Linked DNA regions of Pelodiscus sinensis. The protein of the gene in region 2 binds, or shares a complex with, the protein of the main gene of each other region. Links are inferred from orthologs where the notes say so. Each region holds a gene or a part of one and is shown on either strand. Other genes may lie near its edges.

Region 1 (8,004 bases), on a different chromosome or scaffold from region 2:
GTCTAACATCCCTAGTCATCACACCGACATCCGGAAACCATTCACAGGAGTGAGGGGATGCACACGCTGCTGTCCTAGATGTCAGGCTAGCTGCAGGAGTCACCCGGGCAATGGGATTCACTGGGGCTTTGGTCATAGGGTTTCCGCTAAAGATGATCTATAAAGAAGAAAAAAAAACGAACGGGGATTGGAGACCGTTTTTGCTGCTTTATAGCAGACAGCAGGCCAGGAAGGAAGCGAGTTTGCTGGCACCATTAGCTATTCAGAACTGATCTACTAAGGGAGGCTCTACGGAGAACTAGTAAAGTTGACACAAATGCACTGATTCGAAGGCCTTTGGATTGCCTGATCTGAGCTCCGGAGAAGAGACAGGCCCCCCAGGACCCCAGAGCAGGTCCCCCAGCAAGCCCAGAACTGCTGAGTGAGCGACAACAGATCTCCTAGAAAGATGCCCCGCTGAAATTAAGACTTCAAGTGACGGGGAATCCACCACAGGCCTCTTCTCACAAGACAGGGAAAGCCTCGCGGCTGAGAGAGAGACAGACTGCGCAGCGCCCAGCCGAGGGGAACTCCGCTCTTGGTTTCATTCCAGCATCCCTGTCTTTGCTAAAGTTCCACCCTCAAGCCCCTGGACCAAGTCGTGAGGGCTCAGGAAAACTAAGAAGTGGGATTGATGCGCCTGGCATTTCTAGGGGACAGGGAATGGAATTTAAAGAGCCTTTGCAGGCTGTCCTTAGAGAGCGAGAAAGAAAGAGAGAGGGTGTGTGTGTGTGTGTACACCTGCAGGAATGCACTGCAGAGGAGACAGTGGGTGTAGCAGGTAGAGCACCAGTCCAAACCACAAGGGTTTTATTCCTGGCTGGGCCACTGGCCGACTCAGTGAGCTTGCGTAAGCCACGTCGCCCCCTTGTGCCTCGGTTTCCCCAGCTGTGGAATGGAGAGAACCTTTGCAAAGCTCTTGGAGAGAAGCATGGATGAAAAGCCATGGAAGAACGAGCCAGTAGAATGATCGTAGGGGCAGCTTTCAACTGGGTCTACCTGCCCCTTTGCTCTCCGTTTGAAGCCTGCCGCGGGCTCTCAACGACTCCATGCGCTCACCTGCATTATACGCACCCCTGCCCCAAAGGCAGCTTCCCAAGGAGCACCCAGCAGCCAGTCTGGGCACCGCCGGCCTCAGGCCACTCTCACCAGTTTCTGGAGGGAAGAGAGCTCCTCTGGCAGGTAGCACAGGCCGGTCCGGTTCAGCTTCAGCCATCGCAAGCTGGTCATGGACTTCACGTGGTCCGGAAAATAGCCACCCTGAGAGGCGGGAGAGAGAAAGAGCCACGCTGGGCATCCGCTGGGCAGGGAAACGGGTTTCTCATCCAGACGGGGCGGTAGGATCCTGTGCTCTTAACACCCTCCCCACACCGCAGAGGGGAACCACCCACGGCCCCTTTTCCGGGATCCCTGCCAAATGCACCAATGTGACAGGCTGTTCCAACAGCGCGGGACTTACTGTAACTAGGGATGTTAGATCCCATGTAATCGAATAGTCGTGGAACCGCAGCATTTTAGCGGTCACACGATTATTTGATAGTCCCTGGGGACTCACACCGGGGAGCCCCCCGCCGCCCCACATGGCTGCCTCTGTATCAGAGGCAGCAGCGCAGAACAGCAGCAGACCCTGTATGCAGGGGTCTGCGCTCGCCACGGATAGAGGCTGTGCCAGCATCCTACGGAGCAGCCTCTGTCTGCAGCAAACCTGGGTCTGCCGCGGGCAGCAGCCTCTCTTGCCCCCCTGCCTCCCCCACACTGCCCTGGGAGCCAATCCTGAGCGGAGCAGCGGTCGGGCAGGTTATGCAAGATTAGGGGGCTGGGAGGCAGCATGAATCCCGTGGACGGACACTCGCAGGCCCCGATTCTGCCGAGGCTCAAGCACACGTGTAGCTTCATTCACAGGAGTTTGCTCCTCCCACGAGGGTGTTGTGCCCCAGTGTCGGTCACTGTGCGAGCCTGGCCTTAGCAGGCGTTTTGCTACCGCTGGTGGAAGGTTTCTAACTAGCAGCCTCCCCATCCAGGGAGAGGAGGGGCAGGCAGACCCACGCACCTGCAGGAAAGGGCCTTTCTCCCATGCAAAAAGATTAACCCAGATTGTGCAACTGCATTTGAAGGGCCTGTTTAGCGGCAGGTTTCACAACCCCCACAGCCACATCGCAGAGATAAACCCTGCGCCACCCCAAACCATACCAACGCGGGCCCACCGGCATGCGCCGCGCCCAAGGGCCATTCCTCGGATCAACAGCCTTCTAGGGCAGATCTGCCAACGCTGCCATGGGAGGGCTCCGGTGCTGGGGGAGGGTAATTGCAAAGGAAGAACCTGAATTTTAACCTCACAGGAGGGAGCATCTCTGCATGCCCCATCCAGGGCCGGCAGAGCGGCCATCCTGCTCCTCAGACGCGGTGCCTGGCAAGGGCCGGCATGAGCTCATTTCTCTGCCTGGCCCGGTTACAGTTTCACACACGGTAGGAGTCAGCGTGAGTGCAGCACATGGACTCATAGCTCCTTAGTGTCACAGGGAGATTATACAGGCCCAAACTGTGGGTCACGTCACAGCACCGGGCAAAGTTGGCTGAGTCACTTAAGTCACACGCAGACCAGCAAAACCACCATGGCCAAGGGCAAGCGATGGGCACAGGGAAACAGGCTGACCAGAGAGCATAGCCAAAGGACCACCAGCATCCAGCAGCACGGTCACCCCCTGGTCAGAGGTTAGGCTGGGGAAATAGATCCCAGGAGGCAAAGCAAGTGAGGGATCAGAGCAGGGTTGCATTCCCAATTCTGCCAGCGTGACCTGGGGCAAGCCCTTTCATCGCTCTAGGAGGGATTTTCTACCAGCAGCTCGCCATCTTTTTCCTTCCAAGGCCTCTTTCCCCAGAGCTATACAAACTCCATGGCCCAGCTGTGTTAGTTAGCACAACTGTTTTCCCGCATATAAAAGCCAGGGGCAGCAAGAAGGGGCCCCGGCCCCACATCTTAGGGGCTCTATGACGCTTCGTTTCTCAGGTTTCAACTTCAGTCCGGGGGTGCCCATAAACTTCAACTCCACCCAGAGTAGCTTTGGCTTTCTCGCTCGGACCCTAGAAACCTGCTGGGGTCCCCCACGCCGCGGATGGAGAAGGGCTGATTTACAGAATCCTTGCCCCTCCTCACAGGGACCAGGAGGAGATGCGATTAGTTTCAGTGCGGGGCGCCCTGAGTAAAAATGTTTCAGGGGGGCAGGCGAGTGAGTCTGGAACAGGAAAAACTTTAAAAACGACCCATAGTCTGTAGCCAGGAGGCCCATCACCCCCCAGAACCAGGGGCTCTGAAATTGCCCGGCCTCTCTGGCAACCCCCCCTGCTCTGGCCAGGCCAGCTCGGCCCCCTCCCAGCGGGATGTCAGGCCCCACAGTGCAGCCAGGGCTGAGCCACTGTCTAAAATTAGCCAGGCAGGAAACAGGCAGGGCCTAGAGGCTGGGAGCTGCCCAGCCACCTCCCTGTCTGTCGCCCAGCCCCGGGCTTTGCCCGCAGCCCAGCCCAGGGTGGGGGGGGGGCCTGCGGTACCTTGAAGTCGTTCCCACTCAGATCGACCCCCCGGATGAAGGGGAGCACCCCGGTGGCAGCCATTGCTCCGCTCCGCAGCAGCTGCAGCCAGCCGGCGGCAGGGCAGGGCGTGTTGCATTGACACCCAGCCTGCGCTCGCTCTTTTAACCCCTTCCTTGCCAGGGGCGCTGCAAGCCTCCCAGGGAGCTTTGCTTTTAAACAGCCCCCTCCGGGAGGAGACGTGATCGCAGCTGCCTGCCTCCACCCCTGTGGGGGGAGAATCCCCCTTTCTGTGGTCCTGGGGGAACCTGCCCCATTCTACCTTCATTGTTGCCTGCGGCTGAGAAGGCTTTTAAGGGGCTACTACCCCCCCCCCCGTTCTCCTGGAGCCCCCTGGAACAGTGGGAGGGCGAGAGAATGTTAATACTATTGGGAAGGATAGTGGGGCAAACTGCTAGGAAAATTACAGCCAGCTCTGGCCGATCTCAGAGGGCTTTACAAGCAAGGTCAGTATCACACAAAGGAAACTGAGGCAAGGGGCTTTCCCAAAGACAGCCCACTGGGGCTAGAACCCCACTGTAGGTCTCTCATCAAGGGTTACAGAGCCTAGGAAGGTTATCAGGTTTTAGGGTCTCACCTAGGCTTATGTAGCTGGGCCTATTGACTGTAATGCATTTAATTGTCTGCATTTAATGAAATGCATTACAGTCAATAGGCCCAGCTACATAAGTCTAGGTGAGACCCTAAAAGGGGGGCCCTGTGATCCAGGCCCGTGCCTATGTAGACAAGAGGAGACAGGTTATTAACAATAATTAATAAATATTAATAATTAATAACACAGTGCTGTCTCATTGGGGTCCCTCTCTGTATCTACCCGCTACCTCGTCTCCTACTCAGATCTTAAGCTTTTGGGGGCTGGCTGGGGCCCTCTTTTGGTTCTGTGTTTGCACAGCACTCAACCCAGTGGGCTGATCCTGTTCCAGGATTGGGGCTAGATACTCTTGCCACCTCTGAGCTACCCCAAACCCAGAACATCCAGGAAGATCCTGGGCCCATAAAACTGCACTGAACACCCGTCTCCCATTCGCAGGGCAGCTCACTCCAAAAAAGCAAGCAAAGGGTAGGGAACCTGCAGGTGACAGCTGTAGGAAGGCCCACAGGATGCAAATGCCTGCCTTAGGATCCCTGTTCCTAGTGGTGACAGGGTAGGGGGTGTCCAGGGCGGATTTCTGCACTGTCCCCCCTCCCTCGCGGAGTCTCTGTCAGCTCTGCATATAGGCCCCTCTACTACCCGGGTAGGACTAAGCGAAACCCCCAACCCCACCACATCCTCAACCCCTTCCTGCTTCTGTCCCGCTGCGCCTTTAAGGCGAAGAATTGCCGGGCTCCGCCCACGTGTGACGAAGCCGAGGCGAGGGGCGGGGCGCAATTGGCAACCGGAGGCTCTCGTTACATTTCGGAACGTTGGGACAACAGGCGGGCGCTCCTATTGGCCGCCTCGGCCCGACCGAATGTGACTGTCGCCGACGTTCGCTGGGGATCGGCCGTAGGGGAGCCGCTGCTGCAGTAACCGCGGGGCCGGCCGAGGCTTGTTCCAGCCCCCGGGGCCCGGGCCTTGCCGGGACCCGCCTTCCCCCGCCGCAACATGGCCTGACCTAGCGGGGCTCGCTGCTCAAGGTGAGTGCGGCCGCGCCGCTCCCGGCACCTGTCGGTGAGTTCCCGGGGCCTCTGGCTTAGTCTGGGGGGCAGCCTAACGAGGTGTGAGAATCTAGAGCGGGGGCCCAGTGATCCAGGCCCGGAGGAGGGGCGACACAGCTGGGGGGCCTGATCCAGGTTCAGTAGGGGAGGCACAACTGAGGGGGTTCCTGTAATCCAGGCTTGATAGGGCGGCACAGCTGAGAGGGGGGCCCTGTGATCCAGGCCCGGTGAGGGGCGGCACAGCTGAGAGGGGGGCCCTGTGATCCGGGCCTGGGGGGGAGCACAGCTGGGGCAGCTTTCTGTGATCCAGGCCGCTGTCTACGTGCTATCTTTTGTTTTTTACAGCAAGGGCACGTGTGGGGAGAGCAAAGTCCAGTTCCTCCTCCGTAGCTGCGCAGGTTGGGCTGGTGTCACAAGGGGATGGGGCGCGTTGAGTTAGGGTGCGGGAGGTGGGGGCAGCTTTGCTATTTCCTGTCCAGCTAAAGAAGGCCGCTGGGCATTTCTGACAGCACGTATCCAGTCCCGGCTGGGATCTGGCGTTGAGACCCTTTGGCTCTCTGGCCACACTATATCTACGGCTATCCATGGCTCCTTGTTGGCAGATACGGATACAAATTTGGTATCGAGAACCCTGCTACTTTGCCGTTATTTGCTTTATACCTATGGGTATCCACAGATGTGGGTGCGAATATCTGCAGAGCAGTTTTGCAGATGGGAATATAAATTTGGATCGGTGCTGGCCTCTGTTTATGTTTGAGGGACTAATAGACGAATTTCTACCCTCCAACCCAATTCCCTTGATGAGCCTGTTACATGTTCAGGGCCTTGTTGATTCCTTGATCCAGTTTTTGCCCTGTTGGGCCTATTTCAAACCATTCCATTATTCACTGGAAAAAACCTGAAAGCTTGAACTCCCAGCACAGCCCCGCTTGGCATTCTTGCTCGTGAGAGTTGTGTGCGGCTGTACCAGAGCGCCTGCTGGGGCAATAGGTATGCCTCCCAGTAGAGGTGTGACTGGGGAACTGGTTACCCAGTACGTGGGAGCAGCCTGATGTGCACAGAGGGGCTGCTGTAGCCCCGTGGAGGGCCCGGGAGCTGGAACCAGCCTTCCCACACTTGGGGCTGTTGGTCCTTGCCCATTGGAGCGTGTATTCTGAAACAGAAACTATAGCTGGGAAGTAGATTTTGAGCTCTTAATTCCCGGAGACTGTAGCCCCTAAGAAGCTGTTCCCATAGTGACATGGTGAAACTGAGTCATACTGGGATCATTACTCATGAGAGGTCTCTGCCATGTGAGGAAAGGACACAGATGAAGTGTGGGTTTCAAACTCTAGAAGTCTGAGCTGCCGTGTTCACTGTGCACTGTCCCGATGCCGCAGGGGTCTAAGAATTTGGCTGTGGCCCATTTGCTGCCAAGCATCAGTGGGGAAGAATCGCGCCTGGCCTGAGAAGTGACGTGCATGGTGGTCTCTTCTGTGGGCCGTGCGTGAATAATGCATAGCGGCTTGGGAAGAAACGGATTGTAAGTTTGCACTGTTAAACTGAGAGGAGGGATAAAGCTGGGTGGAAGTAGGACCAGACGGCTCCTTGATTGCTGGGGCTGTGAGGTGTTCACACCCTTGTTTTGTTCACTGGCTGATGGCAGCAGAATCTCCATGCAAAGGGATGTGTGAGGTGCCTTTACCTTGAATGGACTTGAAGCTCCTTGAGTTATCTTACACCGTGCCCACAGTGCATTTGTATGGGAGCCCCGTTTGATGCTCTGTAATTCCCTGTGTCCTTTCATCTGGAGCTTCATGACCCACGGGGTTATTTTTCCCATCTTGCAGATGGGGAAACAGAGTCACAGAGGTCACGTGACTTGATCGTGGCACAGCAGAGTATCACTAGTGGTCTGGAAGAGAACCTTGGATTCTGAACTCCCGGCCTCCTGCTTGGGCTACCGACTTCAAACTGACAAACTTGTCTAGAAACTGAATTCAAGCCCCATCTCAGTCAATTAATTTTCCATCACAAGTCAGAAAACCCTGTTGCACTAAATAATCTCCCTTTTTTTTTAGTGTCATTGTCTCTGTCACATTTACAGGGCAGGGTTCAGTAATTTGTGGGGGATACAATGTAGCAGAAACGTGTGAAATGGAAAACTTCTCTGATCACCAAGTGTTGGTTATTGAGACTGTTCTAACAACTTGAAGGCAGTTCTAGGTTGGGGGGAGGAAGGCATGGAGCTCAGTGGGAAGGCCGTGATAAGGAAGACGAAGGGGGAAATGGAGATGCAATTCTGTATAGCCAGGAAGGTAAGTGTGAAGAAGCTATCAAAGGGCCAAAGAGATCTTCTAGGTCCATTCCCTGCTTGGTCTCAGTTAGATTAAATGTCGCAGCTAATGGACCATCTGCTCCTTCCCCAGGGATGCTGTTCCACAAACGAGTAGATCGTTTTGGAAGGAAAATTTCCATGCTCTTCAATGTTCCCAAAGGTTCCACCAAGTCACCTTGGACCCCAGGTGCATCACCTTGTGTGTTTCTCTCTCTCTGCAGGTGGAGCATGGCTGAGCTGGTTCATAAAAGGGGGAAGAGGCGGGATGACAACGGGCTGGGTGGTGCTGTTGACTTCCTGTTGGCCAATGCCAGACTGGTGCTTGGGGTGGGCGGTGCTGCTGTGCTGGCCATCGCAACTCTGGTGGTGAAACGGGTAAGTCTGGGTTCCTCTGGAAGATAAACTAGTGTCCCTTCGGCACTCGT
Region 2 (7,548 bases):
ATGGGAGGAGACATGGCAGCAGAGAGAAAAAGCAGAGGTTTATAAGATACTTATTAATAACCTGGGTGATATTTATTAATAACTTATTAGTAATTACTGTTCTTATTCTTATTAGGAATTTATGCCATTAAAAAAAACCACTTTGTGGGGGAGCGTGGCAAGTCCCTTTTTTGTCTGGCGAGTAGGGTTTTCCATAATTTATCAACCCTTGGCCATTACGTTTTAAAAGGGTCACTATCTCCCCAGGTGGCTCTGCCTCTCCTCCTCCCCCCGTTTTTGAACTACCTTGGGTCACCAAGTCTTCCTGAATTGTCAAAATGGGTCCCCATCTCGAAAAGGTTGGGAACCGCTGCCCTAAAGCCTAGAGAGAGGAACAAGCTTGAAAGCCAGAGATCCTGCCTGAATCTGAATGTCTATATGTTTATTTTTAATGCTTCAGCTCAAGCTCCAGTCTGAACACACAGGCTCAGACTCACGGTCATGAGATCCTGCTTGTGATGGAGATGTACCAATCCTGCAGGTGAGTCCATGTAGCTAGATCCATGTAACACAGCTGTACCCATGGAAAGCTCCACTGAAGTCAGCAGGGATTCAAGAGTCTGTTCTAAGGATGTTAAAATGTGGTTAATTGACTAGTCAACAGGCACTTCCACACTCCTCCTTTGAAGTGTACAAGAGCCCCCGCAGGAATGCAGAACTCTGCATACAACCTGGGGCCAGAGGGAAGTCCCTCTGATTCTGGGCTGCACACAGGTGCCTGCTTTGAAATGCACAGGAGACCCCAGGGGCTCTTGTGCATATCAAATACATGGAGCCCAGAATCAGCAAGAGACTCCGAGTCCTTCGGGATCAGCGCTGCAGATTTTGGGTTCTGGAGAAATGCCACTGGGAATCCCCAGCTGATCCCAGGCTCTATGGCAGCTACCCCTTTAAAATGCCGCTTCTGGCATTTCAAAGGGGTAGCTGCTGTGGAGCCCAGGGTCAGCTGGAGACTCCCAGTTGATCCGGGCTCTGTGCAACAGCAGAACCCAGGGTCAGCTAGGGACTCCCAGCTGATCCCGGGCTCGCTGTGGCAGCGGAACCCAGGGTCAGCTGGAGAGTCCCCAACTGTGCAGCACTGCCACTTTTAAGTACCTTTCCCCCCACTGCCTCTCTCTCATAGAGGCAGCGGGGAGCAGGGGGGAATCGACTAGTCAAAAGACTATCTGATAAGTTTATCGGATAATTAACTAGTCTTTAACATTTCTAGTCTGTTCACGTAGCTATACCACAAAGTAAAGCCAAAATATATAGGCACTGCCTAATTTCTATTCCAGTTGCTATTATCATTACAGGGATATGGTCAACTTACATAGCTACGGTAAACCTTTCCTTTTTAACCCACAGAGTGCCTTAAATTACTACATAAAAATGAAAGGTTTTTAAAAATTGAATTTAGTTGGTAACTAAATATGTGCTTCACTTTCTGCATTCTTCCAAGTGTAGAAAATGAAAAAAAAAACAACAGTTCTACTACTGTTAACTCCTTTCACTTTCAGTGTCCTTGTACTCAACACTTGGGTTTCAAACACAGCTAGGGATGTGAAAGATTAAGCAAAATGCAGGACAATGTAGCACTTTAAAGACTAACAAGATGGTTTATTAGATGATGAGCTTTCGTGGGCCAGACCCACTTCCTCAGATCAAATAGTGGAAGAAAGGTTGTGACTACTTTCTTCCACTATTTGATCTGAGGAAGCGGGTCTGGCCCACGAAAGCTCATCATCTAATAAACCATCTTGTTAGTCTTTAAAGTGCTACATTGTCCTGCATTTTGCTTCAGCTACCCCAGACTAACACGGCTACATTTCTATCACTACTCAAAGATTAAGCTGTAAGCCTTGCCCTTAATGGGTGAAGCTTACTGGTGACAGGGTAAGGGATAGGGGCTGGAGCTGGGGGCTGAAGCAGCAGAGCCACAGCAGGCCCAGCTCAGGCATGCAGCAGGGGTGCTCCAGCCTGGCCAAAGAAGATGGAATAGCGGTTTGCTTCAGACCCCCCCCCCTCCTTTAACTAATTACATGGGATTTTACACCCCTACACTACACAGGAAGCTTTTTCTAAGAACTATTTCTCAGTCTGATCAGGATAACTTAGGAGCGGTCTCTAGTTTGATAACTTGCCTTAAAGAAAATGATACGCCACCCGTAAGCAGGTAGCATGCCTTGAAATAATAGTACGTTTAAAAAAAAAACAAAACCTATTAGCAGGGCTTCACTCAAACAGTCATTTGTTGCAACGGCTTTGAGCCAACCCCGGGTTGTGGTTTTTAAACCCTTGCACCCAGGGGCCATGTACCACCACAGAGTCACATACCTGCAGGGGATCTTCAACGTCCCCACGTGAGAGGAGAGCAGAGCGACGCGGGGGGGGGGGGGGGACGGACAGATGTTGCGTTAGGGGGAGGCGCCTGGCCAGCGCCGAGCTTCCTCCTACACCCCCCTTCCCAACGGCGCGCGCGGCCGCAGCAGCAGGAAGGTCAAGCCCAGGCTCGAGCGGGGGCCTAGCGGCGGGCCCGACGCGGCAGGCGGGGGGCAGCAGCGCAGTCACCTTCAGCGGGCGCCGGCCACTTCCCGCCCCCCGCCGAAAGGGGAACAGCCCTGCCGGGGCCGGGCGCTCCCCTGGGGGCGGGGCCGGGCGCCCCCGCAGGCTGGCGGGGCCCACGCGAGGCCAGCCCCCCCCATTCACTCTCTGCTGCCCTTCCCCGCGCAGGGGCCGGGCCCGCTCACCTGCGTCCCCACCACCACGATCTGCGGCAGCTGGATGATGTCGGCGCCCACGGCGTTGAACACGTCCTGCAGCTTGTTGATCACCGGGATCAGCGCCTCCATGGCGGCGGGGCGCGCGGCGGCGGCGATGAATGGAGCCCGCGGCCAACGGCTCTATCGCCTCCTGCTCCCCCCTCCCTCGGCCGCTCTCCACCACGGGCGCCGGCCCCGCGCCCAGCTCGGCCTCAGCAGGCTGTGTGCGCGCGCGCGCCGCCCGCCCTCCGCGGGTCGCGGCCGCCGCAAAGCCCGTCGGGAGTTGTAGTGCCCCGCGCCTGGCAGCGGCGCCCCCGCGTGGTTCCCAGCGGCAGCGCCGGGCGGAGCAGAGGCGAGCACCCCCTCTGCGGGAGCGGGAAAGAAATGTTACCCCCGCCGCCTCCCGCCATAGACCGCCAATCAGCAAACAGCTTCTGTGCTACCGAGCTGCTGGAGCTGCTGCGGATGGGCCCGCTCCAGGTTGCAGCACGAAGAGCCGCAAAAGCAGGTGTATAGGCAGAAAGTGCTACTCAGCGCCTGTACTGTAACAATTGGTATTAATAGGACAGGGGCACTGGAACGAAGTCGCTGGAAATCCCACGACTAACCCAACCTCTGATCCTGCTCCAGCCGTGCAGTAGGTCTCTGGTGCCATGGGTTACCCCTGGGCCCCAGGGGCCTGGTCTACCCAGAAATTAAAGATTACTTTGTTTAAAAATTATTCCTATAAGATTACAAAACGACCAGGAATTAATCCAACCCCACTATGCAACTCTACCCTGCAGTTTCTGCAGCACGTTTCTTCTCTCTATGGCAAAGCCCGTCACCATACTTACAAAATGCCCTTGTCCCTTTCCAGGGTACAGATGTTCAGTAATGGGAAAGAAAAAAATACACTACTGAAGATACCCCCTACCCCAAAAAAGTTTTCCTCAAACTGCTGCAAGACTACAACTGTGCACAACTGCAAGTTTTCTTCTGGTTGTAGGAGTTATTTTCAGTAGTCACTGAAAGAAAGTGGCACATTAGGCTACCACACAACTCAGAGACTAATGAACCCCAATCAGCACAGACAGTACAATAGAGAAATATGTACACAATGTCTCTGAAATGAACTTCTAGGAGAAAATCTGGTTGTAAAAACAAGTGCATATCTATGCTATAATTTCCATTGTTTCCACAGATGCAACTGCACCTGTTGCACATAGACTTCAGCCGTGTATAGCGCTCTATTAATACAAGTAACGAAAAATGATTACATAAGCATTACCACTGAAGCAACTTGTCTGAGAGCAAGTTGTTGCACTGGTAAAAGGACATTGACCTTGCAAGTCATCCAAGGAGGAAAAAGAGGGTAGTGAGAGGGATATGAAAGTACCATAACAGAATAAACATTAATTTTTGTAACTGTCACATTCAGATACTGGTCTAAAATTTCACCAAACCAGAAGTAAAGCTGAGGAAGTGTTCCAGCTCAGATCCATTGTACCAGGACTCATGAGGGCAACTGCTTGTCATCTTCTCTGCATCATTCTTATTCCCAGTCAGTAGGATGTATTTTCCAACTGCATTTGGATTTACTATCTTTTTATGTTTTTACAAGTGAGGCATCTATTATAGCAACATTATAACTACTGGAATTATTATTTCACAATAAAAGTTTAAGGCAAAAATGAACTAATTTTAAACCAACATTCATGGAAGAGAAAGTTAAAGCCAATGCAACTTAAGTGCAGAAAATTGTACTTGAATGACTCTACTCCGTAAGGAAAAGTCCAAAAAAGTCCAAGTTGAATATATTATTTCCAGTAATGATACAGTAATCTGCTGTGATTGTCCTATAGTGGCATCCATTAACTTTTGGAGCACAAACTCAAATATTCCTGCCAGGAAAGAACACTGAAATACTGAACCTGTGAATACAGGTCTGGCTCTGGCACACCACACAGATTCATTCTTACAGCAACCTCAGCTCAATGCTTCACACAATTCTTGGCCACTCTCCTGTTTTTTCTTTACTGGCTGAGTGGCTGACATTCCCAGTAAAGAGAAACCACATGGAACCCACCTTCCCGTTAAGCAAGAAGATAGAAAGTTTTGCATTCCAATCAGCACCCTGAATAGAAGACACCTTTGCTACAAAAGAATGGAGGCTGCTGCCATCTGAAACATATTCTCTATGGGCATGCATAAACATGGTTCTTTCAAAAAAAAAATACACCCTTTCCTATACTCATTTTTGGAGGAGTACAGGATCTTTTGAAAAAGGTTTCCACCCCCACCCTGAAAGATTCAGGTATACATAGCAGTTTCACTTTTGAAATACCCTTTTTCAAAAGAATGCTGTGATGTAATTATGCAAATGAAGCACAGGATATTTAAATTCCCACTTCATTTGCACTTTCAATCTGCCTAATCTACATCCCTCTTTTGAAAGAGGGATGTAGTTAAGACACCCTGTGGTTGCGTCTAGATTGGCATGATTTTGCGCAAATACTTTTAACGGAAAAGTTTTTCTGTTAAAAGTATTTGCGCAAGAGAGCGTTTATACTGGATTGTGCCTTTGCGCAAAAGATTTGCTTTTGTGCAAAAGCATCCATGCCAGTGTAGACGCTCTCTTGTGCAAGAAAACTCCGATGGCCATTTTAGCCATTGAGCTTTCTTGCGCAAGAAATCAACTTGGCTGTCTACACTGGCCCTCTTGCGCAAGAGGGCTTATCCCTGAGTGGGAGCGTTGGAGTATTTGCGCAAGAACCACTAATTTTGAACAGTACAAAGTCAGTATTCTTGTGCAAATACTCGCGGCCAGTGTAGACAGGCGGCAAGATTTTGCCAGTCTGGACGCATCCATTGTGTCTGTCTGTCTGCCATTGTGTCTGTCTCTTTTCTTCTATTAGTTGCATTTCTGACACTTAGTGGCTTGTGAAGATCACTGACAAGGCAGATACAGACTGTTGCAGGAGTGGGCAATAACTTTTGACCAGGAGCCACTTCAAAAATTTCTGAAATTTTTGAAGTGGCCCAGAGCTGCCCTGGAAGGGGCAGGGCCTCAGACAGACAGAGTGGGGCCCCGGCACTTCCATCCTTCCCCACCCACTTACCCTGATTGCCTCCCTATAGAACTGCCAGCTGATAACAGCTGGTGGTTCCCCCTAGGTACCTCTGCTCCTGGCCGTGGGAGGAGTCTTCACATGCTCCTCCTGATGCCCCCAGCTCAATCAGGGCCTGGGAAGGGGGAGCATATGAAGTCTCTCGTTCCCTGCCCCAGCCCTGCAAGGGAGCACCCTGCTTAGAGCCAATCACCAGCTGAGCAGCAGTTGATTTAAGTGCTGAGCCCCTTTCAGGGCAGGAGGAAACTTCACACTCTCCTTCCACCCCTAAGCCTTGATTGTTCTCAGCAGGTGGAGCGCATGAAGTCTCCTCCTGCCCTGCCAGAGTGGAGGCAGAAGGGAAGAGAAGATCTTTTGGGAACTAAAAAGACACTGGAGACATCTAACCGGAGAGGAAAATTAGGAAGGGGAGGAAAAATGAATGTAGATGGAACATGTACAGGAGGGATTAGTCAATTCATCAAAAAGAGAAAGGAAAAGGCAAACAAGGTCACAAATGTTTGTGTCACTATATTTTATTTTTGTGTCAAAGAACTGGGAGTGGGAAAAGAATTTTGTTTTGAGACATTGAAACTCTTGGTGACTCATGAGACACAGCACTTACCTCAGTCCAGTTACAGCAGAGTCCACAAGAAAATCTCAATTTGCTCTAGCTGTCTAAAATATAGATGTCATGGTCACATGCCCCCATGCTTTATGAAAACTGGTTTATAAATATGAATATGCATAACATGAACATGTGTTATGCAAAAGAGATCATGTAGCATATTTTCAAAATTGCAGTCTGCTGAGTCTGTATATCGTATTTTTGTGCGTGTATCATTCTTGTATGCGAAGCTGGAAGTCCGAAGTGTGAATCTGGTTTTAACTGTAAATGTGCTAATGAGGTCCATTAGTGATATTTCAGGTACTTAATGGCTCAGTATTCAAACCGTGACCCATAATTATTTCTTGTAAGCCCAAACACGAGGCTGATCCTAGAAAGACATGTAATCATGTCACCTCATACTGTGTAAACAATTGTCACTGATAAAAAAGGCTGACCTTATGAGCTTTCTCTGTGTAAGTTTTACACAGAGTAAGATTAAATTATTTTAGCTTTTGGTTCCTTTGTGGGGTTGGTTTCCTGGGTGCTACCAGCAGCGTTATAGCTGAGTCCTCACAGAGCTGAGCAGGTTCAGCATCTGTGGTGTTTTGAAGGGTGATTGTAACCCCCAACTCTATGCCTTGGCTGGGGGGAATCAGAGCTTCTGGCCCAGAGGGACAGGGTTGTGAGGATCCCCAGAAGGCAGGCACCAGTGGCTTGATCAGCACATTGGAGGTCAAGCTGTAATACAACCCATCACAATTAAAATTAGGTATGAACAGATTGCGCCCACGAAAGCTCATGATACCATCTACATGTTGTGTTAGTCTGTAAGGTGCTACTAGACTATTTGTTGTTTTTTACTTGTTTATTATTAGCTAATTGAAATTAATATAATGGCAATTGCCATATTGGATCAGACCCAGGGTTATCTAGTTCAGTATCTTGTCTTCAACAGTGGTACCACCAGATGCTTCAAGTGAAGAACAAAAACAAAAGCCAAACCCCAATAACTCACCTTCCCCAAAACAACTAAACAAACAGATATTAGATCATTTATCCACTACATTTG

The links.
Region 1: the proteins of DNM1L (region 2) and MIEF2 are in contact, whole or in part, in a cryo-EM structure (PDB 5WP9), measured with the Homo sapiens proteins. The link is inferred for Pelodiscus sinensis from reciprocal best matches to the Homo sapiens genes DNM1L and MIEF2. Residues at the interface, in NP_036192.2 of Homo sapiens: Asp190, Met191, Ala192, Thr193, Ser194, Leu197, Lys198, Ile199, Arg201, Glu202, Gly223, Thr224, Asp225, Asp228, Arg233, Val234; in NP_631901.2 of Homo sapiens: Val213, Asp214, Thr215, Val216, Arg218, Arg226, Leu230, Arg235, Val245, Gly246, Tyr248.

What each region holds. Positions count from the first base shown.
Region 1 is NC_134726.1:34,201,265-34,209,268, forward strand, and holds the start of MIEF2 (mitochondrial dynamics protein MID49), read left to right. Parts: upstream 1-4,993; 5' UTR 4,994-5,241; intron 5,242-7,800; 5' UTR 7,801-7,807; coding exon 7,808-7,954; intron 7,955-8,004. Other genes in the region: FLII (protein flightless-1 homolog), read right to left, coding at 1,189-1,299, 3,586-3,648. UniProt on the Homo sapiens protein: Mitochondrial outer membrane protein involved in the regulation of mitochondrial organization.
Region 2 is NC_134711.1:105,496,787-105,504,334, forward strand, and holds the start of DNM1L (dynamin-1-like protein), read right to left. Parts: upstream 3,008-7,548; 5' UTR 2,871-3,007; coding exon 2,769-2,870; intron 1-2,768. UniProt on the Homo sapiens protein: Functions in mitochondrial and peroxisomal division.